2 linked regions of the Diceros bicornis minor genome follow. The protein of the gene in region 2 interacts with the protein of the main gene of each other region in a pairwise test. Links are inferred from orthologs where the notes say so. Each region holds a gene or a part of one and is shown on either strand. Other genes may lie near its edges.

What was found.
Region 1: the proteins of DRAP1 (region 2) and GTF2B interact in binary tests that used the Homo sapiens proteins (3 or more experiments, as listed by UniProt). The two-hybrid records come from large-scale screens. The link is inferred for Diceros bicornis minor from reciprocal best matches to the Homo sapiens genes DRAP1 and GTF2B.

Annotation. Positions count from the first base shown.
Region 1 is NC_080743.1:24,860,777-24,873,462, reverse strand, and holds the start of GTF2B (transcription initiation factor IIB), read left to right. Parts: upstream 1-7,748; 5' UTR 7,749-7,830; coding exon 7,831-7,847; intron 7,848-12,416; coding exon 12,417-12,523; intron 12,524-12,686. UniProt on the Homo sapiens protein: General transcription factor that plays a role in transcription initiation by RNA polymerase II (Pol II). Involved in the pre-initiation complex (PIC) formation and Pol II recruitment at promoter DNA.
Region 2 is NC_080770.1:7,365,384-7,376,875, reverse strand, and holds DRAP1 (dr1-associated corepressor), read left to right. Parts: upstream 1-6,152; 5' UTR 6,153-6,323; coding exon 6,324-6,365; intron 6,366-6,602; coding exon 6,603-6,675; intron 6,676-6,786; coding exon 6,787-6,880; intron 6,881-7,195; coding exon 7,196-7,315; intron 7,316-7,412; coding exon 7,413-7,527; intron 7,528-7,764; coding exon 7,765-7,853; intron 7,854-8,224; coding exon 8,225-8,330; 3' UTR 8,331-8,459; downstream 8,460-11,492. Other genes in the region: C31H11orf68 (UPF0696 protein C11orf68 homolog), read right to left, coding at 4,285-5,041, 5,741-5,862. UniProt on the Homo sapiens protein: The association of the DR1/DRAP1 heterodimer with TBP results in a functional repression of both activated and basal transcription of class II genes.

The sequences.
Region 1 (12,686 bases), on a different chromosome or scaffold from region 2:
TTCAGAGTTGCACTTGGCTCCTGGCTCCCAGACAATTAGATTCAATAGAGCAATGGTCCACAAGCCTTTTTAAGCCATGTAGTTCATACATACACACACATATGCACACACCTGCACACAGACACAAAAGCTTGGAATTACACCCATCTCCCTTTGGCCTGGCAAATAGATATTTCTAATTAGGGTCAGTCCAAAATGATATTGCGAGGATGTCTCAGCCCCTGCTGTCCAAACATGGGGAAATGGGCACTTAAATCCGTGCAACATTTCTGGAGGGCAATTTCACAATATCTGTCATAATGTTATATGAGTGTGCCCTTTGATGCCCTCATTCTATTGCTAGGTTTACACTTTGAACATGCAAACATTCACCCACAAATATGAACATGAGTGTTCACGACAGCATTGTTTATAATGCTGGAAACAGCATTATAAACAGCATTGTTTACTGGAAACAGACAGCTCCTCCATTATTGGCAGTGTAAATAAATTATGGTCTCTAGTCAAAGAATGCAGTTCATCTCTGTCACTTGAAAAAAACTAATATACTACTGAACATAATCTGTTTTGTGCAAATAAAACAAAAATGCATCAATACATTAATATGCATGGGTCCAATATGGATGCGTTCTACATGAATTTGAATTATGCAAATTAGGTGTTGGGCCATATAAAAATATTAATACAGTCTTTCTTGTGCTAAGAATTTTATATAATTTTAATTTCCCCAAATAAAAAAATTTATTTAAAAAATACATAATTTCAAGACTGGCAGGCCCTGTACTTATACAACTGCAACAGGGCTGTGTCACCAGAGCTGTAAACAGCGCCATCTTTTGGCCAAGGTGCTGAGGTGGGAGGGAGCTGGGGAAGTTGGAGGAGTTGCATGGCTGCCGCTGGGGTGTGATGCCCCAGCACCATTTTCCCCGAACAGCCTTTTGTGCAGTAAGCGGGAGTAGCTGTCTACAGCGCTCTACGAAGGATCTTAAGTCCCGTAATCTTTCTCCTTCCTCATTTCATAATCAATTAAATGGAATATTAATAGATTCAAATACTTTTAAGTTCCAAAAAAAAGTACTCAAAGGTATGATCTATCACCGTGTAGTTTAGTTGTTTGAAAGCAAGCCATAACTAAATTCTCATTAACTTAAAGTGTATATGGCTTTGGAACAATTTTCTGAAAATTTGAAAACATCAAACAAGTCTAGTTATTGTAGATGTAGAGATTTGGGACCATTTAGTTTAGTGGGAAAGTCTCAGGATCTCTATTGTAAAAGCAAACTATTGACCTTGGGTTTGTGGGGAATCTTTCGTTTTTTTGTGTGTGTGTGTGAGGAAGATTAGCCCTGAGCTAACATCCGACGCCAAGCCTCCTCTTTTTTCTGAGGAAGATTGGCCCTAGGCTAACATCCGTGCCCATCTTCCTCCACTGTATATGTGGGAAGCCTGCCACAGCATGGCTTGATAAGCATTGCATCTGTCCTCACCCGGGATCCGAACCTGCGAACCCTGGGCTTCAAAAGCAGAGGGCGCGAACTCAACCGCTACGCCACCAGGCTGGCTCTGGGAATTGTTTTCTTTAACATTAGCTTCCACGTAACAGAAAAGAAAGCAGAAAGATATAACCAAGCCCTCATTCACAAAATAGACAACGATGTAAGACTACAGCCGGAGTTGAACATAACTGAGAGAGAAAGATGATAATCTATAGACAAGTCAGGAGTGAGCATTTGATGAGCGTGCCACAAAATTAGCTTGAGAGGTCCAGACACCGGGATAGAACAGATGAATACAAATAGTGGCACGGGCTTTTATGCAGCTTTTATACTGCATCTTGATGTAAATGCCATAGAATCAAGTCATTAAAATAGTGGAAGATGGCTAAACCATTGTGGGTTTTGTGGTTTTAATAGAAAAGCTACACTCAAGTTAACTTTGATTTTTTTTAACCTGAAAAAACCCACCCCAATAAAAGTATTCTATGTAACTGATGGTGTACCAAATACCACCTTTATTAAGCTATATTTGGGAACTGCTCATCTTACTGTCATTCAAAACACTCACTAAGAGACTTGGTTTAGCAGTGGGTATATTGTTAACACTCAGATAATAATAATACTAGTAATGGTCACGTGGACGCCTGTGATGTCTGAACATGAGACACTGAGCAGAAACTGCCCCTTTTGGCAAAGATCAGTGGTAGGATAGTGGATGGCAAATGCTTTCCTTCACAAAAGTTTGGGGGCAGAGTCCTTTCATCTCGTTACTGTGAAAGAGCAAAATCCTAGGTAAGAAAGGTCAGAAAATAGTGAGAATGAGCAGGTATAATGGACGATTTTGTAGAAGACAGAAAGCACAAAGAGAAAAAAAAAAGGAAAAAAAGGAAAGCTAGCTATAACGGGAAAATCCTCTTGGCAAGCCTCGCTAATTTGGTTTTATTGTGAAGAACAGTCAGAATAATGATATTTTAAAATATATTCTTTCATTCACTCAACCAATGACTCTCACAAACCAATATTTATTGGATGTCTTCTGTGTGCAAAAGGTTAGTCACAAAGGTCCAAAGGAAAAATGAGGGTGCTTCAGCCCTCGGGGAGCTCACTGCAGCTCCCTTTAAGCCCCTGAACTAACAGAATTGGCCCTGGTAAAGTGTTGCTTAGAAAAGGTCCTTGGTACATGCATTGGTTTTACCATCTAAATTGCACTAAGACTTTAGGGACCTTCTGTATATCACTGTCCTATTACAAAGGTATAAGTTGTTTCCTGTTTTATAACATTACAACCAAAATTACAATTTTCCTATTTTTAGCATTTATCTTGCTTCCTATGTTATATTATTATAAATAACACTCCAATGGACATCTTCATGAACACAGCATCCCATATTTTAAATTATTTCCTTACTCCAGTTCTCAGAGGTGGGATTACTGCTCAAGAGGCTTTAACATCTAAATCATTCTTGGAGTATTGTCAAATTGCTTTCTAAAAGGGTTGTATCAATTTATAATACAGTGAGCAATGCATGACAGTAATGAGAGAAGCAATTTTATATTCTCATCACATGGTTATACTTTATAAGTAATACTTTCAGAGTTTTAATTTAATATTTAAATAATATGAGATTATTTGAAAATAGGTACTTAGGTTATACAAGCAGGTATTTAGCATGTGATTTTCATGGAAAGAGTAAACATCTAATGTTAAAATTCAGTCTTGAAGAAAGTGTCAAGTAACAGGTCACATGAATATGGACATGTTTCATGTTCTCATTTTTCCCCAGTAGTTTTTGAGAGCACTTGAAAATCATTAATAAGACTTTAAAGGCAAATCTTATCTACATTAATGTACTTAAAATGTACTTAAAAACATTTTAAGGAAATTATAGTCTCATATAACATTCAATTTCTCCATATTTTTTATTATAAAATGAGAAAGTGGTTATTTTGGGAAAAAATATTATCTTCAAGACATATGATAAAACAACACTAAATAGTGCAGCATAACTTTTGAAGTCACATTCTTAATGCCAAATGATATCTCTTTGGAAAAAATATTAATTTTAAAGGTCACAAGCTATTAACGTGAGCCCTTTTGAGTTATTTTGTTTTATTATCAGAGTAATTTAGAAATGTAAGAGAAAGCTACTGCTCACTGAACATTGAATTAAAAAGTGAATTAATTTCTAGCAATCTTCCTCCCTGATTCTGTAAGGAAATAACTGATGGTTAATATTTTCTGTTTGTAGCTTATTAAAGTTGTAAGCCTGTATTCTACTTCCTAGCACTTGGAGAAGCTGCTGGCTTTTCTCAGTGAAAAGCTGGATTTAGTCTCCAATGGAGGACAAGCCACCAACACTGAGGAATCAAAGATTTCAAATAAATCAACAAACAAACAAATGGAAAAGTTAAATTCAGGTTCACGTATGCAAGTACGTTTAGCAGTGGGATATGAGCCAGCCACATTTCAGTTTAGGTAGCACACAATTTTACAAACACAAGTGTCGTTACGTGGACAGCTGGCCAAAATATTTTAGAGCACAGCTGCCCCATAAAATCAAGCCCACATGATTGCTGCAGGTACACTGCTTGTTGAATCCATTCCATGATCTTAAAGTCTATAAATTGAATTTCTGTATATTGAGTTTCTATTAAGAGGCATATTGCATAGACTCTGGAGCCAAATTACCAGGGTTCAATCCCAGCTTTGCCATTTACTAGCTGTGTGACTTCAGGCTAGTTACTTAACTATTCTGTGCCTCAATTTCTCCATCCATAAAATAGGGACAATAATAGTATCCAACTCATGGAGCTGTTGGAAAGATTAAATAAGCTAATATATAAAAAGCCTTAAAATAGTACCTGGCACATAATAAGCACTATATGAGTGTTTGCTGCTGTTCTTAATATCATGATTATTCATTTTTATTACTACTTCTACCTGAATTTAAATAAAACTTTATTCCTTTATTAAGGAATCAAAAGGATAGTGAATGCTTCTACAAATACAATCTGTATTTCCCAGGGCACAGTAATTTGGGCCTAAAAATATAGTCTTGCAACAACAGTTATATAGCAGGCATGCAGAAAAGTGGGAAAATCTTAGAGTCAGTCATTCCTGGCTTTGAATTCTATCTCCACCACTAACTTATTGTGTGACTCTGGGCAATCTACCTACTCAACCTCTCTAAGCCTTTAGAAGGAAAACAATAATACTCGCCTGACCAGATAACCAAGAATTAGACAGGATGCATGTGAGGTGCCTGACAGATGGCCCAAAGCAGAAGGACCTCAGGCCTACTTTCAAGAACTCCCCTACTGCTTGCAGCTCCATGTGCGGCCATCCCTGTTCCCTCTCTGGCTCCCTGCCACCTTCAGCAGGGGCTTACCCTGCTGCCTGGTGAAACCAAACCACCAAGAAGCAGGCCCTGGAGAATTAAGCACCAACTGAAAACTTAGTGTGGAAAGACATCATTGGTACTTTAGTGAGTATTATAATGCTATATAAAAAAGATTTGAAAGTCCATATTTTTTAGAAATGTACACTCAAGTATGTATGGGTCAAGGTGATATATGGGACTTGTTTCTAAAATACTTTAGCAAAGGGAGAAAAAAAGGCAAGCAAAGGATACATGAAACAAATGTGGCAAAATCTTGATAATTGTTTAATCAGGATAATTGTTTAATGAGGATTCATTATATTACTCTAATTTTTAGTGTGTTTGAACATCTTCATACATGATAAAAAAACTGAAAAATTAAGTAAAAACCTCACATTTCTAGAAGCAATACATATGGCCCCTTAGCCACCAGGCACATGAGGCTTGTCTAATATTCTAGACATTTCATCCCATTTCCAAAGAGTCCAAGTCAGATCTGATTATACATTTCACTGAATCCTCTGTTCTTCCTAGTCCAGCAGAACATGCCATGTAATGTCCAAATAAATATTTGTCAAACCTTGCTCAAGTTAGGAAATTGTCATCTTCTCCAACATCACCATACAGATCCTTTTATAACAGACACTTATATACCAGCGTTTCCAAAAGTGAGGCCACAAGATAGATCTAATGAACCTCCACAACATTATGCCAAGTGAAAGAAGCCAGACCAAAAGACAATATATCATACGATTCCATTTATATGAAAAGACAAGAAAAGGCAAATCTACAGAGAAAGAAAGTAGATTAGTGATTCCTGGGCTGGACGTGGAATGGGCATTGACTGTACATGCACATGAGTGATCTTACTGGGATGATGGAAATGTATTAAAACTGGATTGTGGGGATTATTGCACAACTTGGTAAAATTACTAAAAATCATTCACTTCTAAACAGGTGAATTCTGTGGTATGTAATTATACCTCACTAAATTTTTTTTTAAAGAGATATATCTAGGTGGGTCACAACTTTTAAAAAATCATCCACTACGTATGTAAAGCATTTTATACTTTAGAAGAACTATAACTAGCACATCAAGTTGCGATTCCACAGTAGTGACATAAACTTTTAAAATAAATTTTTAAATAAAAAAAGATGATTTAATTTAAATAATTAACTTAAATTATTTTAATTGATTAATCCACATAATTAAGGTAAATAAAAATGATGATAATAACAAACCAGAAGTTTTGGTAAATGCTGTCTGAGTCATTGATTCCTAGGTTGTGTGTCGAACCCCAGTTGTGCCTGTGTGTGTGTGTGTGTGTGTGTGTGTGTGTGTGTTTTAATCTCAGAGTCAAATATAAAGATTAAATGGGATAATGTTGATAAAAATACTTTATCAATTGCCAATGCTGTATTAACAAAAGGAAAGGATTGACCTACCTAAACTTCTTCTAATTTAATATAAAAGAAATCCTAACTAGGTTATGACAGATAAGAGACTCTCCAGGCGGGGCAGAGTAATTTAACCAATTGCCCAGCTACCTTCCTCTGGGGTGTCAATTTCTCCGATGGTTTCTTCCTTCCACAAACATTACCGAATGCCTACCATGAATCCATTACATAGTAGGTCCTAACTCTTGATCCTCAAGAGGTGCCCGGTTGCCCTGCTCCTCCTCTCCCTCTTCTCCCAAGCCAAGATGCTCTACTAGGAAAACTTCCTACTGGCTTGGTGTGGAGCACCCCCAAGCCCTTTCCTGGTTGCATTGGCACAGCTGAAATGAATTGGCCTTTCTGAAACTTTTCCAAATCTTAAGAGGCTCCCCTGACACACACACACGTACAGTCAAGTTTTTAAACTGCAGAATTACAGACTGGAAGTCAGAAAAAAAAATTTCTCTTCCATCCCCATCTAGATTTCAGTTCCAAAACTCCTGCCTCTTACACCCCTTATTCTTTCTAAGTAAGTGAGTCCTCCCCACTTTTCAAGAACACAACGAGTGCTCAGCAGCGTTTAAGTCCTATGCCCAAAAGAACAAAGCAGCCATTATAAGTCCTCATCCTCACAGAACCCGGATCACCCTCTTTCCGCCGATCCCCACAGGGTCAAGGTGGTTTGTTTTCAGCAAAGTGGTGGTAGTGTTATTGTTATTATTATTACTATTCTGATGTTAGTTTGGCTAATTAATAAATCTAGGGACCTTTTGCGGTATCTAAACGTTCTGCTAAGTTCTCTATGCTTCAACTGTCAGCCAAATTTGCAAAGCCCATGAAAAAAACCAATCAGGATAGGGCCCCATATCTCCCTGCCTCACTAGTGCACTGTGCTCTCACATGGTTTTGTTTCATCTCCTGCCAATTCTGAAAGGGTATGCAAGGCACATAATATTACCCCTTGCACCGAAGGCGAAGGGACGTGCTTAAGAAGACACAGCTGGCTTGCCGATGACAGAGCCTGAACCTACACCTGTTCTAGCTGACCTAAGTGAATTTCTCTTTTTATTCCAAAGTCCTTAGGGGAATCACGCCTCTGGGCAAGTAAGAATTGCGCTTAAACGAGAGTAACTGACTCCCGGGTGGAGGGGTTAGTTAGCTTTGCCCCCACCACGAAGCCCGGGTTGTTTTTATGTTTTAATTCAGTCAAGTTCTGGGTATCTCCGTTGTAGCTCCTTTTCAGGGTTCCCTGGAAAGTTTTCTTGGGTAGTTTTGTTGATTCGCCCAGCAGCACGGCAAATTACAGAAACGGAATAGGAGAATAAGGACACGCAAAGCACGTGGCCTACAGGATCTCATCTTTCTTGGTCCTTCTCGCGACCCGTAGCCGCTCCCCCTTACGACGGCGTGTGCCGTTCGCCTATAAAAGCCCGTCTTGGCGCGTCCTGTCGCCACAACGTCTTCCTGTTTGCGGCGCGTCTGTTGCTGCTCCTTGCTGGACCGCAGTGGCCGTGAAGATGGCGTCTACCAGCCGGTTAGTACGTCCGGCCGAGCCGGGCTCGCAGGGGTGCGGGCGGGAGTGCCAGGGCTTGCCAGGCGGCCGCCGGGGCGGCTGCGTCGGGCGGAGCGCCCCGGAGGTGCGGGGAGAGGCGGCGGGGCTGGCCGGCCGGCCCGGACAAAGGCACTTCCAGACGGCAGGGCTGTCAGGGGTGTCGCAGCGGGTACCGAGCGTCGGCGTTACCGCCCCGGCGTCCTAGGTCGTCTTCTTACCCAGGCACCACCCTGTGGGGGTCCCTGTCTCCCCAGGCCCGGCCTCGCCTCTTTTGCGGATGTTTCAGCCGTCTTATCTTGTTGTTATTTCTTTCTGCGCTTGTTTTTCCACCTACGGCTTAACCAGCCCAAGGGGCCGTGAGTCCAAAGAGCGGGAAAGGATTCTAGGCCCCTGTCAGTCTGACAGCTAGAACGTTAGGGACGTCAGCATTGCTAAGCCTGATGGAAACTGGTTACCATCCCAGAGGCCCTCTTAAGTGAAAGCTGAGGCATTTCCAAAGAGTTGATAAGTTCCCTTATAAGAGATTTCTTTACCAATGTTGTCTTCTGCATACTCCTGAAGAAAATCTTGCCTGCAGAAAATTACTTACATGTGCTGGGAAGTCACTCTTTAATATGTTTTTAAAATGTGGTGCATACATATCTACAGGAAATGCGTGCAGTGCTCTTAGAGACAGCCCGTAATCCTGTGACCTGGAAAATGCTTGCAGACCCTAATTATATCTCTCATTACTATTATGAGGTAGATATTGGTATTTTTGCATACGTGTAAACTGAGTCATGCCACTGGTGACTTTTCCAAGATTGGTGTTAGAACAGAGTGTAGAGTCTCAAATATCTATTTCCTGTTATCATACAAATGGCCTTAAGTTAACTCATAATGTATTAAAAGTATCGAGTGCTATAGCTTCTGGATGGCAACTCTGGAATAATTTTTCTAAGCTGGTTATCCTCTGTGGAATTGAGTTCCCAATGAAAGCCATCATCACAAAATAGCTAGAGAAGTCCAGGCCCTTTCTGTTAACTGCCAAGACTTACTACTTTATGTTACTGTTTTTTTTTTAAAAGGTGGGGAAGTGGGGAGAGGCAGCTTTAGCTAATGGCCTGTTTGAAAATAACTCTTAAAGCCAGTGACACTCTTGTTTACTGATTCTAATTCTATGATTGAATGCTCAATCATTCTGTCTGGGTGTGGCTCTGTCAGGTAAGGCTTCCTTGTAGGTAAATGGAAAATGTAAGCTTCCCAAAGACACATACATACGACATATTCTCTCATGGCAGTAGGTCTCAAAGGTGAATGTGGTCCTATTTGGGCACAGCTTTTGCATATAGTAGAATAGGAAATTGTATTTTTAGGAAATGTTGCAGGAGTTAAACACAGTAGATTCACTTTATAGATTCTTTACCCAAAGAGCACACTTAACTTTGTGTGCCTTTATTTTCTTCACTTGTTAAAAAAAAAATGTTTGAAATAAATTTTTTCTAAACATATTCAGCTCTTTTTTTTTTTTTTTTGTGAGGAAGATCAGCCCTGAGCTAACATCCATGCTAATCTCCTCTTTTTGCTGAGGAAGACCGGCTCTGAGCTACCATCTATTGCCAGTCCTTCTCCTTTTTTCCCCCAAAGCCCCAGTAGATAGTTGCACATCCTTCTAGTTGCTGTATGTGGGGCACAGCCTCAGCATGGCCAGAGAAGCGGTGTGTCGGTGCGCGCCCGCCATCCAAACCTGGGCTGCCAGTAGCGGAGCGCGTGCACTTAACCCCTAAGCCACGGGGCCGGCTCTTAAATATACGTATCATTGCAGTTATCTATCTCGAGTTTTTCTACCAGTGAGAACAAAGGTAAACGCTAGCATTTCTACCTTTAGTAGTTTTTTCCCTGAAGAAGATATACAGTTGCTAGGCTATGAAACTGCCTGGTGTCTTCACAGAGAAGAGCACAAATGTTCTGAGTTCATGTGTAAGCTCCATCACTTACTAGTTCTGCGACTTCAGACAAATCGTTCTCTGAGCGTAATCTTTAAAATAGAGATAATGCTTCTGTTGCAGAGTTGCTGTGAAGGTTAATAATAGATGTCTGGCACTAGACACATAGGCACCCAATACATGATAGCTTTAAAATGAGGTTTGGGAATATCTGGCTCCTTAAGTAGTCTCAGTTGTTTAATATCAGTGGTGGTTGTTTATTCCGTTCCTTCCGATTGTTTCTCTCCTTTACTTCCCCCACCACCACTCCTCTGGTTCCTCTTTTGTATTACTGTTGTGGGTAATTTGATTAAAAGTTGACTACTTTAGCGTGATTTCATTTTATTTTGGATAGGTAACATATACAAATAGTACAAAAAACAAGGAAAGTGAAAAGCAGTCTCCGTCCTTCCCTGTCTCCCAACTGTCTGATTCTCCCCCAAAGCAGACATTGTAACCAGTTTCGTGGTGTTTTCCTAGTGATTCTATGCTTTAACAATTATATGCATATCCTTCTAACCTCTCTTGCCCCCAAAATATAGTCTAGTGTACACACTGTTGTCTATCTTGCTTTTTACCTTTCTTATGAGGTTAACACACACATTTTAAGTGCACGCGTCAATTACAAAGTGAGCACATACACACAGCCCCCACCCACGTCAAGAAATCAAATACCGCTAGCACCCTGAAGCCTCCTTTGTGTCCTCAGTCATTACCCTTTCTCAAAGATAACCACATCCTGACTCTGATACCATAGGTTTGTCTGCCCGCTTTAAAGTTTATATAAATGGCATATGTATTCCTCTGTGTCTACTTTCTTTTGATCAGCGTTTGAGATTCATCCATGTTATTGCATATAACCGTAGTTCATACTTTTTCCAGTTTTGTATAAAATCCCTACCGTACTCTTTTCACCTAACATATCTTTGAGATGTTTCCATTTCATTTATATATATACACACACACACACTCTACAAGATATTTTATCTACTTTTTAAGAGTGCAAAATATATCAGTCGTTTTCTTCGTACATTGTGTGCCACATGGCTGCCCATTCTACACATTTGTAATTACTGTTACTCTGCTAACATTTTCCTGTATTTTGACATACTTTTTCATAATTTATACTTTCTTAATATATTATTTGTCATAATTTATTAAAATATTTTCCTAATAGAAATTTATGGAATAAGTGAGAGTATAAACCAAGCCCCTAGCCCCCATTTTTCCAATGAAAAGATCGAAGATGTGTTCTGGTTAACTCGAATATATAGATTTGGGGAATATGGATTATTTTATCAGTTTTTCAATGGGATCACCTTTTATGTTGAGAGTTAACATTCTGAATTGTATTTGCTAGCACCAGAAACTTTATCCAAAACCACGAATACTTATTTACATACTATAAGAATGGTTGATGTTGTCTTTTAGATGTATATTTGTGATGGCCATAAAATAACCTTTTACTGTGTTACTCATGTGAACTTTTAGAGAGGACTTATTTTCAATGATACCAAACATTTGTGATTTTGAAGTCATATGCCCAGAAATAACTACTAAATCTATGCTAAGTATCTTTGTTTCTTTTTTAAACTGATTCTGGGGGTCATTTTAGCCTGATATGTCTTCCCCAAACTGCTTTATTTTCAAAATAAAATAATTGATCACAAATAGGTTAAAAAGTAGCTTTTGAAACCATTTGTAGAATGCTAACAAACTTAATTCTGGACCAAATGAAATCGTCAGATCTTAAGTTCAGCAGAGCCACATCTACCACCCTCATTTACATGCCCGTTAGTTTCAGTGTACTATTCTAAATCTATTGCTAAGGTAACTAGCAAGTAGAAAAACACAGACTTGAAATTTATTCTCTGGCCAGAGAAATAAGTGGCAAGGGGCACAAGCCTGATGGTTATATATAATAATGTTGCACGTTATTATGGTGGCTAGTCATTTCTATCCTAATCAAGCTTTTAAAAAATCTTAGTAGCCTGCATGTTAATAGAAAAAACAGTTGTTCTCCTTTTAAGTTTTTAAAGCCTTCCATGTCGACACACCAGTTACTATTATAAAAAATAATTCCAGCTACTTGGCCATAAAAAAAGACAAAGTCGGTCCATTTGCAATAACATAGATGGACCTTGAGGGTATTATGTTAAGCGAACTAAGCCAGACAGAGAAAGACAAACACTGTGTGATTTCACTCATATGTGGAAGATATACTAACACATGAACAGAGAGACAAGTTTAGTGGTTACCAGAGGGGAAGGGGGTTGAGGGGTGGGCATAAGGGGTAAAGGGGCACATTTATATGGTGACTAACAAATGTACAACTGAAATTTCATAATGTTATAAACTATTATGACCTCAATAAAATAAAAAAATAATTCCAGTGGAATATACTTGTTAATTACTAGCTAGAATTTAAAGTAACCTGGGATGTTTACTTTGAAAATTTAGCTTAAGTGTGTTATAAACATATAGTATTGGTAAAATGTTCAAAATACTCCTTTTTCCCCCCCAAAGACTACTTTGTTACATGTTGGTTGGGAGGATATAAAATATATATATATTTTTTTTCATTTAGTTTGGATGCTCTTCCAAGAGTCACATGTCCAAACCATCCAGATGCGATTTTAGTGGAGGACTACAGAGCTGGTGATATGATCTGTCCTGAATGTGGCCTGGTTGTAGGTAAGCAGTTATTATGGTTTTCACTGAAATCACTATTTTGGGTACTTTGCTTTTGTGTGTTTTCCAAACTACCTTTTAATGAATACATTTTGAATTTTTTCCCTTATAGGTAATTCATATTTATTTAAAACAAACAAAAAGAATTAGAAAAAAAGAAACAAGT
Region 2 (11,492 bases):
GGTTTCTGGGCTGGTGCCCTCAGGTTACCCTGCGGTGTCTGGGGGACGAACGTCAGAGAAGAGGGGAGTTTCCCTCTGAGGATGAATCAGCCGTGTGACCGAAGCCTGGTCCCCGCCAGGGCCCCTCCCAGCGGGCGGGAGTAGGGAGCAGTTGCCCTGCTGGGAAAATCCCCCAAACCTCGCCAAAGCTTCTGCTGAAGCTTTCTCCTGACTCAGCTGTTTCCTGTCCCCTGCCCCTCCATTCAGCCCTGAGCCCCAGCTGGAATCAGGGGTTGGGCAGAGATTCTCCCCACTCCCCAGGCAGCCCCTGTGGAGCCTCCTCCCTGGGGTGTGGGGGTTTGCAGTGCACGTGAGTGGGAGGAGGTGGAGTAGGGGGGTGTCTGCTTTCCCCAGCCTCAGTCCCCCTTCCTGTGGTTTTATAAAAGGAAGCAGAGCACAGGGGCTTGTCCACCTTTACCCAGCCTCACCCACCCTGGGCCAGGGCTGCATTCTTACTCCTGTGTGGGAAGAGACCAGCTGGACAGGACAGAAGCCCCTGCCAGCCTGAGGGGGTAGGTCTTGGGAAGCCCTTGGCCTGACAGGGAAGCAGTCCCCCCCAACCCCGTAGGCCTGGGAGATCCTTCCTGTCCAGGTAGGCTTAGTGACTGTATTCTGTGAGCCTCGGTTTCTCCATCAGTAAAATGGGAATCTTAGTCTTGGCCCAGCCTCTCTCCCAGGCAGTTCTGAGGACCCACGCTGTGCGCTTTACAACTCAGATCCTCAGTCCTTGCTGGCTCTTATCTATCTTTGCAGCCCCCCACCCCAACAGCACCTTCATACAGTGCAGGATCCACAAGGCATCAGGTGCTCTGGAGTCAGATGACCTGGATTTAAATCTTGGCTCTGCCACTTATAGCTTTGTAACCTCAAGCCAATTACTGAACCTTTCTGGGCCTCAGTTTGCTCTTCTGTAAATGGCAATAATAATAAAGTCGGGTGGGGCTTAGATGAGCTAATGTGAGTAAACACTTAGCATGGCGCCTGGCACTTGTCGTGAATAGAAGGAGGAAACTGAGGCCCAGAGACAGAGAGTGACTTTCACTTAGTCACTCATTTCTTCAGTAACATTGATTTGGCACTCGTGCTAGGCCAGGTCCCTATGCAGGACGCTGAGGACACCTGCGGGATAAAGCGCAGCCCTGTCCTCGAGGGGCCCCAGGCGCACAGATGAGAGCCACAGGTGGACTAGTGGGTGTTATGGAGCCTGGGCTGAGGATGGATAGGGGAGGAAGAACCTCTGAGAGGATGACACCCAAGCCAGTGGGTCTGAGACGTGGAGCCAGCCAGGAAAGCAGGTGAGGGTCAGGCACACCAAGCAGAGGTGACAGCATGAGCAAAGGCGCAAAAGTGACAAAGCCCAGCACGTGTGCGAGAAAACCTCAGGCAGCTCCTGATTCTGGAATAAGAAGGGTAAAGCAGGAAATGGAGGAGATGGGGCCGGAAGGACTGGCAGGGGCTGAATTTGAGTCATTCATTCATTCATTCATTCAATAATTTATGGAGAGATGGCTCTAGCCAAGCACTGTGCTAGGCTCTGGGGACAGGGCTGAGATCCAGACATTGTCCCTGTCTTCACTGAGGCCACATGGGCATGCGGCTCAGGGGCCAGCGGGAGACAGATATCAATCAAGTGGTTGCATAAGGAACCTCCCCATCCTTGCTGCACAGCAGGTGTTCAAGCAGAAGGAATGGCCTGAGGCCCGGGGCTGCGTGCCAGGGTGAAGGAAGTACCAGTTGGCTCCCGTAGGGTGAGCAGGGGTGGAAAGGGGCGCCTGCGGGAAGCCGGGGCAGCGGCAGGGGGCTAGGTCATGGCTGGCTCAGGAAAGCAGACTCTATTGCAGACTGTGGGGAGCCACAGGAGGGCTTTGAGTAGGAGAGGGACAGAGGCAGCTCTGCGGGAGAGCTGGCTGTGGGGGCACAGGGGGGAAGTGGGAGGGGAAGCGGGCAGAGCAGGCAAGTGCAATGGTTTGGTGAAGAGAGAGTGAGGAATGGGCTAAAGCAGGGCCATGAGGCTGGAGAAGGGATGAGCGTGTCAAACGCTTAGTTATGGAAGGAGAACCAGGCGGTGTTGACACCCCTTGGGCATCTTTGGGGGACCCATGAGGGCCTTCCCAGGATCCCCCACAAGCCTTGGCGCACTTTGGTCAAGTGTAGAGCACTGACAGGCTGGGGGAGGCAGGGCACCAGGCTCCAAGGGGAGACCACTCAGCTCTGGGGACTTCCCAGGGCTGGGTTTAGGGGGGACTCAGCCCTGGGGAAGCTCAGGGTGGGGAGGAAGCTGGGGAGGGGGCTGAGCCAGCATCTCATGACTCACCCACTTCCACCCAGTCAGCCCAGTGGCATCTCCGCTCCCCTGCTCCAAATTCCAATTTGGTGAGGCTGCTGGAGGATGAGTCAGCTCCGGCACGGCACGAGAGCAGTGTCCTAAGGGGCTCCCTGCCAGACACCCTGGCCTCCAACCAAGGCCAGGGCCAGGCACGGGGTTGGGGGGTGCAGAGCCAGGCTCCGAGGCTGCAGCAGCCTCAGCTGATCGGGGTGGCCCAGTGAGATCACGTGAGGGAATGTGCCTGGAGCTCCCTGTGGGTGAAGCCAGGGACCACACTCTGCCTGAGGAGGAGGCAGGGACCGGGGTGCAAGGCCTAGCTCTGCCCGACTCACCACGACTCTGAGGGAATTCCCTTCCCCTCTTGGCCTCAATTTCCTTGACCACAGAATGGGACCAACATCTCCTTTTAAAGAGGTTGTGATTAAATAATGCATAAGGAAGTGCTTTGCAAACGTTCTGTGGCCCGTGATGATTAGGGTGGTGGGAGAGGTGAGTATAAACAGGAAAGCTTCCAGGGTCACTTATGGTTGTGCAGGTTGTTCACTGCACAAGGATGTCCAGCCTAGATTTCGGAAATCCAGCCTATCTGCTGCTCACCAGACCGTGTGCCCTGGCCCAGAACTTCTAGACCAAGAGGATACCTTTCTCTAACAGGCGCCAATACACCCTGTAGGTTAGTAGTGGCCCCTCGGACTTTGCTGGGTTGAGCCCCTGGATTTATGGGAAATCACTGAGAAACTGATTCTGATTCTTAGGATGGAGGGGAAGCAGGGCTGGCTTTGCAGAGGCTCTCAGAGAAGTTCTCAGGCTTTTTTTTTTTTTTTTTTGGTGAGGAAGATCAGCCCTGAGCTAACATCCATGCCAGTCCTCCTCTTTTTGCTGAGAAAGACCAGCCCTCAGCTAACATCTATTGCCGATCCTCCTCCTTTTTTTTCCCTTTTTCTCCCCAAAGCCCCAGGAGATAGTTGTATTTTATAGTTGCACATCCTGCTAGTTGCCGTATGTGGAACGCGGCCACAGCATGGCCCAACAAGCAGTGGGTCGGTGTGCGCCCGGGATCCGAACCTGGGCTGCCAGTAGCGGAGCACGCGCACTCAACCGCTAAGCCACGGGGCCAGCCCCTCTCAAGCTTGGCAGTGAGGAGTATCTTATTATTGGGGGATGTTAGGGGGGCCCCATCAGAGCAAAGGGGCAGTCTCTCCTGGCCCTGCGTCTCTCCAGCAACCAAAGCAAGTAACCACCAACACAGTATTTTAAAAAACACTCAAGACACAGACCCAATCTGGGTTTTATTGAAATGCCAGGAGCAGGCACATGACAAGGTAGTGAAGGAAGGGAGAAAGGTGGTGCAGGCTGTGAGGGGGCAGGGAGGGACAGGCCCCATGTCCATGGCCCGGGCATCTTCTCTCTCTGCCCAGGGCTGAGTGGGCACACTCATCCCCCCAACAAAATGGCATGCTCAGGCCTGCAGGGCCTCTGCCTGCTGGTCTGTGAAGGCTCCAAGGAGAGAGACTGGAAGCCCTAAGTCTTTTCTCTTGTGAGGGAGGAAGAGAAAAAGGGGAAGATGCAGGAGAGGGGGGAGGTACAGCCAGGGATGAGGGCAGCCAAGGAAGGCTCTCCTCCTGGGGGTCTGCACCCAGCCTGCGGTCCTCGATGGCAGAGGGGAGCAGCAGCGAAAAGAGAGGCTGAGGGTCCGGCCCTCAGGGAGCCAGAGCCTCCAGGGAGCCAGAGCCTCCAGCCGGTGGGGACTTGAGTCAGCCCTGAACAGAGGGCAGAAGTTCAAGGGGATTGAAGATGCAGACAGTTCCCGAGTGACCTAGTCCTCAGAGCTGGGGGACTTGGCCTCCTTGGGACAAGGAAGACGGGAGGATCCATCCCTGGCAGGGAGGGCAGAGAGTGGTCTCCCCTACTTGGCCCTACTAGGTCAGTTCCACGTTGTTGGCGCGGTCCAGCACACGGGAGCCGCGGGCACTGCCCCCCAGCTGGAAACGGCTCTCATAGAGCGTGGGGCAGAGGTGCCAGCGGTTGGCCCGGTAGATGCCCAGGTAGGTGTAGACGTCAGGCTTGTAGGTGAGCAGGCACTTAATGCCTGCTGCACGGATGGCTGCATCGGCCTCCAGCACACCCAAGCGGTCCGTGAAGTCGTCCGTGTAAACACAGATGACCTGGCGCCCACCCTCCCTGGCCCGTGGGCTCACCTTGGCCACCTGAAGCCGGCCCTCGACCACGGCCCGGGCAATGCCGGCCCAGGCGTGGTCCAGCTTGAAGCCAGGTGCCAGGTGCATCAGCCACTTGCCCGAGAGCACGTGGTGGGTGATGGCCAGCTGGCGCAGGGTACCTGGCGTGATGGGCCGCCCGCTGGTCTGCAGAGCTTCCCAGGCTGCCTGCAGGCCCTGCACGTCGCCTGAATTGGGGACGTAGCCCTGCCCATATGCTGCAATCCAGCCCACGGGCTCCGAGTTGGGCGAGCCAGGGTCGCCATAGCGGGTAACTTGGGATGGCGGGTACTTGGCCAACCAGGCATCCAGCTCTGAGGCAGGTGTGGTGCGGGCATCAAACACCAACCAGGGGTCCATGTCAGCTGCCATGGCCTCCGCGGCCAGATGCTCAGCAGTGAAGCCATCCTCCCGGCCGCCTGGAGAGTCCTCCTCCTCCAGCTCCTCACCTGGCTCCATCCTGAAGCGAGGGAACCGAGTTAGGGCAGGTCCAAGACAGATCTACAGCTTACTGGGCCCTAGAAGGGTGCTAGGCACTAAACTAAGCTGTGTGGCTTTGGGCAAGACTTAATGTCACCGTTCCTCTGTTGCTTCATCTTTAAAATAAGTAACAACTGTTCCTGCCTTGTAGAGCTGTTGAGAATTAAATGCCTGACGCGGAACACGAGCTACGTAAGTGTTGTTGCTAATGTTATCACTACTGTCCCTGACTTACAGATAGGAAACTGAAGCTCAGAGAGAAGGGACTTACCCAAGGTCACACCTGTAGAGAGTGACAGGGCCATAATGTGCATTCAGGTGTGGAAGCAGCCGGCCCAGCCACACCTCCTGGCCCTGCCAGTCACTGGCAGGTCCCCGAGCGCCGGGATTTAATGGAGGGAGGAAGACAGGCGCGCAATCGCGCAGCACTGGGGCAGGCCCTGCAGGGCCAGGCCTCCCGGGGGGGTGTCATCGGGCCTATTTAAAAACCAGGACATTGAAGCCCAGAAAGGGCTGTGACGGGTCCGAGGCCAGTGGGGCGGTGCCCGGACTCGAACCCAGGCTGGTGGGAACCTGCGGGAGGGCCAGCCGCCGGCCAGCCGCGCCCGCCGCCATTAGCGCCCACGGCCCGAGCTACGCTCCCGCCCGGCCCTGCCCCCTCCCGCCGCCCAGCCGTCACCTCCGGCCTTCGCTGCGCTCGGCGCCGGCCCAGCCCCGGGCCCGGCTCCGCTCCTGCCGGGGCTCCGCGCCGCCGCCGCCGCCGCGCCCCGCCCCCGCCACGGCTGCCGCCGCCGCCGCCATCTTAGCGCCTCGCCGCCTCAACAACAACTTTATAGACAAGCGCAGCGCGGGGCGGGGCCCCCGGGCCGGATCGGCCGCGCCGCGGGGCGGGGCCGACGAGGGAAGGGGCGGGGCAGGTGGGGGCGGGGCTGACCCCGGGGGCGGGGCCGTCAGGGAGCCCGGGGAGGGGCGGGCCTGCGTGGGCGGGGCTAACGTTCGCTCTCCTGGCCTTGGGCGCGGGTGGGAGTGGCGGCCCTGTCCCGGACCGACGTGCACCGCCCGGGAGGCTATAAGGGGAGGGCACTCGAGCCCTGGGAGCGGCGTCTTGACTGGCGGCGCTAGGACCCCGTGGGGAGCGGCAGGGGCGGAGCAGGCGGCGCCAGGACCCGGGGGAACCGCGGCGGGCGGGCGGCGAGCAGGCCCCGGGGCCGGGAGGCTGCGGGCGGCGGCGCTGGGCCCGGCGCGGCGAGAGAGTCCCCGAGATGCCGAGCAAGAAGAAGAAGTACAACGCCCGGTTCCCGCCGGTGAGCACGTGGCCGGGCCCGGGAGGAGCGGCCGGGCTCTCGTGAGGCTTGTGCCCAGGCCCCGCTGGGGGGGCGGGCGCTTCGCGCTGTTCGGGGGCCCGGACGCCCCGCCCCCTTCCGTGCCCTCCCCGCGTCCGTGCCCCCCTCCCCCCTTCTCCTGGGATACCCCCCTCGCTCGCCCCCAGCACCCCTTTCTGGGTCGGAGGCCACGGGGTCCGAGCTCTCTCCCTTCCCCAGGCGCGGATCAAGAAGATCATGCAGACAGACGAAGAGATTGGGAAGGTGGCGGCGGCTGTGCCTGTCATCATCTGTATCCTGTTGGGGGCTGGTTGGGTTGAGGGACGTGGGAGAGGGAGGCAGCCCGGGGTCGCCTGTGTGGGCTGGGGACCCCCCTAGCTGCGTTCTCCTTGACACCCCTCAGCCCGGGCACTCGAGCTCTTCCTGGAGTCGCTATTGAAGAAGGCCTGCCAGGTGACCCAGTCCCGAAATGCCAAGACCATGACCACATCCCACCTGTGAGTGGCTGCGGAGCTGAGAGGGCTGAGTGGGGCCGTGCCCCAGGAGTTCACACAGTTAGGGGCGGCTGCGTTCTTATAGTGAGGGAGGTGGGAGGCTGCTGGGAAACCAGCCAGGCCTCCAAGACTGGTGGGTTTGAACTGGGGGAGGAGGAGTTGGGTGTTCCAGCAAAGCGGGGGAGGTCGGGTGGTGGAGATGGGGTGGAGGCTTTCCAGGCTCTGTTCTCCTGACATCCAGAGCCTCTTACTGTCCCTTGCTGAGGACCCAGACATCTGGGCCCCACCTGAGTGTCATCCCCTCCCCATCTCTTCCAGGAAACAGTGCATTGAGCTGGAGCAGCAGTTTGACTTCTTAAAGGACCTGGTGGCATCTGTGCCTGACATGCAGGGGGACGGGGAAGACAACCACATGGATGGGGACAAGAGTGCCCGCAGGTGGGGACCGAGGGCCAGTGTGCAGGTGGAGAAGGCCAAGGCCACCAGGGTTGGGGGTGGCTGGGGGGTGATGAATGGGGGGGTGACCTCTGGGCAGATGGACTGTACCTTCTCGAAGGGGCCGGAAGCCAGGCAGCAGTGGCCGGAAGAACGGTGGGATGGGAAGCAAAGGCAAGGATAAGAAGCTGTCGGGGACAGACTCGGAGCAGGAGGTGAGTGAGGCCCCCAGCCCTCTGTCTCGTAGTGTGCAGAGGGCAGGCTTGTCTCAGGCCGGGCTGGCTGGAGCCTGGTTCCATCCTCACCTCTTATCTCTTTGTACCTTGGTTTTGTTGTTTATAAATTGGGACTATGGAGGTCACCCTCCTGTCCCTGCTACTCTCAGGGGTTTGTGCTTTCCAGTGATGAGTCCATGCCTTTCATGTCACTTCTCATCCCTACCTTGCTACCAGGATGAGTCTGAGGACACAGACACCGATGGGGAAGAGGACACACCGCAGGCCCCACCCCAGGCCAGCCACCCCCCCGCCCACTTACAGAGGTAAGCAGCTCAGTGGGCGCCAGGAAAGGGCCAGCAGACTCCCCAAGGCTGACTTGTCCCTCCTGGCCTCCATGACCACTTGGATCTATTGGTTGTGGCAGATTTGGGGCATGGGAAGGGAGAAACTGAGGAGGGCTTAAAGGTAGGAGACTGTGCTCTCCGAAGGTCCCTTCCACTCTTGGGCGGGGCAGTGGATGGGGCCTGGGCAGGGACTGTGTGACCTGCTTTGGGCCCTTCCCTTCTCTGGGCTTGGCTCCCTATTGGTACCGAGGGCGGTGGGCTCCATGCTGCCCGTGTGGAGGGCAGGGGGTGGCTTAGGGGTCAGGAATGAGCAGTGGCCTGACCTTCCTCTCCTGTTTTCTGCCTAGCAGCCCCCCGACACCCTTCATGCCCTTTGCCTCAACTCTGCCTCTGCCCCCAGTGCCCCCAGGCCCCTCAGCACCTGATGCAGAGGATGAAGAGGATTATGACTCCTAGCGCCCTCTGCCCCCCAGGCCACACCCCTTTTTAGTTGGTTTTGGTTGTTCTGGGGGGAAGAGAGAAGGTAGAACTGTTCTTAAATTTATTAAAAAAAAGAAATAAAAGGGAATGCCAGTGTTTGTCCCAGCCTCTGTCTAGGGCTTTGTGGCCACCTTGCCATCTTTTCACCTGCCTTCTCCACACTGAGCTGGGGCCAGGAGTGGTGGTGGGCCAGGCAGCAGCAGAGTGAAGGGAGGGGCTTTACGTCACAGTTATGCCAGGGCAGGCCCAGTGGTGCTGAGGGAAGGAAGGCGGGCAGGGTGGTGTAGGGCCTGAGCCAGCAGGTACCCATTATGCCGGGAGACAACCTGTTTCATCGTGCTGTGTGACCCTGGGCAGGTTCCTACCCTTCTCTGAGCAGCCTCCTCGCATCTCTCTGATGGAGACCATTCTGTCCCTGCTAGGCTGCTGCAGAGGGATAGATGCGACAGGTAACAGAACAGGTCTTGAAAACTAGAACTTGGGCCAGGTGCCACGAAGGGTGTGAGAAGGGGCACTGGGAGCAGAGGTGGGCGAGATTGTGGAGGGCCTTGAAGGCTGGCTCACGAGAGAGCAGTGACACAGCACCACACCGGCTGTGGCCACTGTGAGTGGTGCAGGTGGGTTGTGATTCCAGCCGGCTAATCAGCCAGGACGCTCAAGCCCTGGGACTTAAGGTGGGACCTTTGGGGACCGGTTTTGACAAGGTTGCTGGCTTTCCCATGGCTCGGGTGGCAGCAGGGACCCTCTAGGAGTCCAAGCAAGGATGATGGCTGCCACACTGGGTAGCGAAGCTGGTGGAATGTAGGCCAGACGCAACTGGAAGCCACAAGTGGTGATCCTGACTGCGAACAAAACCAGCACAGCGGAGCCAGGAGGCTCAGAGGCCCAGATTTCTGGTGACATCTGAACACCTGGACCCGGTCTTGCCGGAAGCCTGTATACCTCAGACTTCTTAGTCCTGTGAGCCAATAAACATTTTTCCCTGCCGGAAGCCAGTTGGGTTTCTGTCACTGGTAACTGAAGAAGCTGCGGCTGACAGGGACCGTGAATGGGAGGGGTTCCCATCGGCCCGGAAGCGGGAGGTAGTTTTCTCTAGCAGCAAGTCGTGTGCAGTCCCAGGGGAGGCAGACTCCTGGGGTCCACAGAGCTGAGGGCATGCTAGTGGGGGTGAGGAGCTGGGGTAAGAGAGGAAGAGAGCCTGGGAGCCTGTTGCTGGGCTCTGTCCAAAGGGTGAGATCCTGAACTGAGAAGGTTCAGAGTGAGGAGGCTGGGTGAGAGTGAGGAGGACGATTGGGGAAGGCCAGGAGGCCACGGTGCAGGGAGTAGCCCCTTTCATCTAGGCAGAGGCTCGAGGAGGTGTGGGTGGGGGTGGGAGATGCCCAGGAGCCCCTGGCCTCTGCCTCTGCATTCTCAGCCTGTTGGCTCACCCTTGGCAGGGTGCTTACGAGTGGAACTTCTGGAGCCAGGCCCCGGGTTTAAATCCTAGCTTCTGCACTTACTGGCCTCAAACAAGTTCTGTAGCTTCTCGATGTCTCAGTTTTTCCATCTGTAAATGGGACTAGTTATTACCTATAGTTATACATGCTATGCTGTATATACTAGTTATACCTATTAGTTAAGGCAAGGGCCTGATGTAAAACTCAAACTGTTTAGGCTCAAGTGCAGAGGAATTTTCTTGCTCATATAAGGTTTATATTGGGATTTATCTGATTAGTGGGTGGTGCTTCTGCAAGAGGGACGCCAGGGCCCAGGCTCCTTCCATCTTGTGGCTCCACCATCCTCAACCTATGACTTTCAGGATCACTGAGGAAGGGGAAAGCTCAGAGCCTATGGAGGTTTTTCTGGGCCAGGACTAGAAGTGGCCCCATCACCTTTGTTCACCTCCCACTGGAACTGCCACAGGACCCACCTGAGGGAGGCTGGGGAAGGTCCTCTAGCCAACCTGAGTGACCGACCAGCCAGTTTCGGCCATAGGACCTCATAGGCCGTTAGGGAGGACCTGACCCAGCTTTCACCAAGTGTTAGGAGTGCAGCCTCCTGAGTCAGAGGTTAGGGGCCCCAGGGAGACGGTGCTTCTGGCTGGGCCAGGCCCCTGGGTGCTTCCTGGGAGTCGGGAAAGATGGTTCTGCCCTGCCCGTGGGCACCACTGGGCACCGGGAGGGAAGCCTGTCAGTACCCCATCTGCAGAGCTCTACCTGGGAACCAGAAGGTTTTCTTTGTTTATTCTCTATCCACTGAGGAGCCTTGAGCCTCGGGCCAGGTCCTGTCTGAATGCCTCAGCCTGGCCTTGGCTGTACCCTGGGGTGTAAGTGTGACCAGTGGGTAGAATGGGAAGCAGCTTCTGAGGCCAGTGTAGCATCCAGAGACTGAGACCTTCAGGTGAAGGGTATGGGCCCACCCATCCCTGCCAAGAGGAGAGTCTCCCTCCATAGTCCCCCTAAGGATTCATTCAGCAAATGCTTATTGGGCACCCAACATCGTCCCTCAGCAGGGAAATGAGTTGCCACAATCACCCACCAGAAGCCTGAAATGAAAAAGTCTGAGATCGCCAAGTGCGGAGAGGAGGTGGCAAGGCCAGACCTCAGTGCTGGTGGGAACGTCACGAGGTGCAACCGTGTTAGAAAACAGTGGGGCGGTTTCTCCTTGAGTCTATTAACACGTACTTCCCTGTGACACAGCAGTGCTGCTCCTAGGCATACGTCCACCAAAAGACACGTACAAGAATGGCCACAGCCTCCCACTGGAAACAACCCAAATGCCTGTCAACAAGAGCACGAATAAATGGTAGGGTATTGTACAACAGAACAATGAAAAAGGGCGAACCACTGTTACACGCAACATCGTGGGTGAATCTTGGAGACCTTATGTTGAGCAAACGAAGCCAAACACAAAGAGCACACACCGTGACGTAATTCATTTAAATCAAGTTCAGGGACAGGTGAAATTAATCGATGGTGATGGAATTCAGTATAATGGTTACCTCGGGGTGGGAGTTGACTGGGAAGCAGCCTTCTGGAAGTGTTCCACAGCTTGAACTGGGTGGTGGTTGTATATAAAAATGTATTAAGCTGCACACTTAAGATGCATGCACTTTTATGATAGCCTCATAAAAATTGTATTTATTTTATCCATCTATTG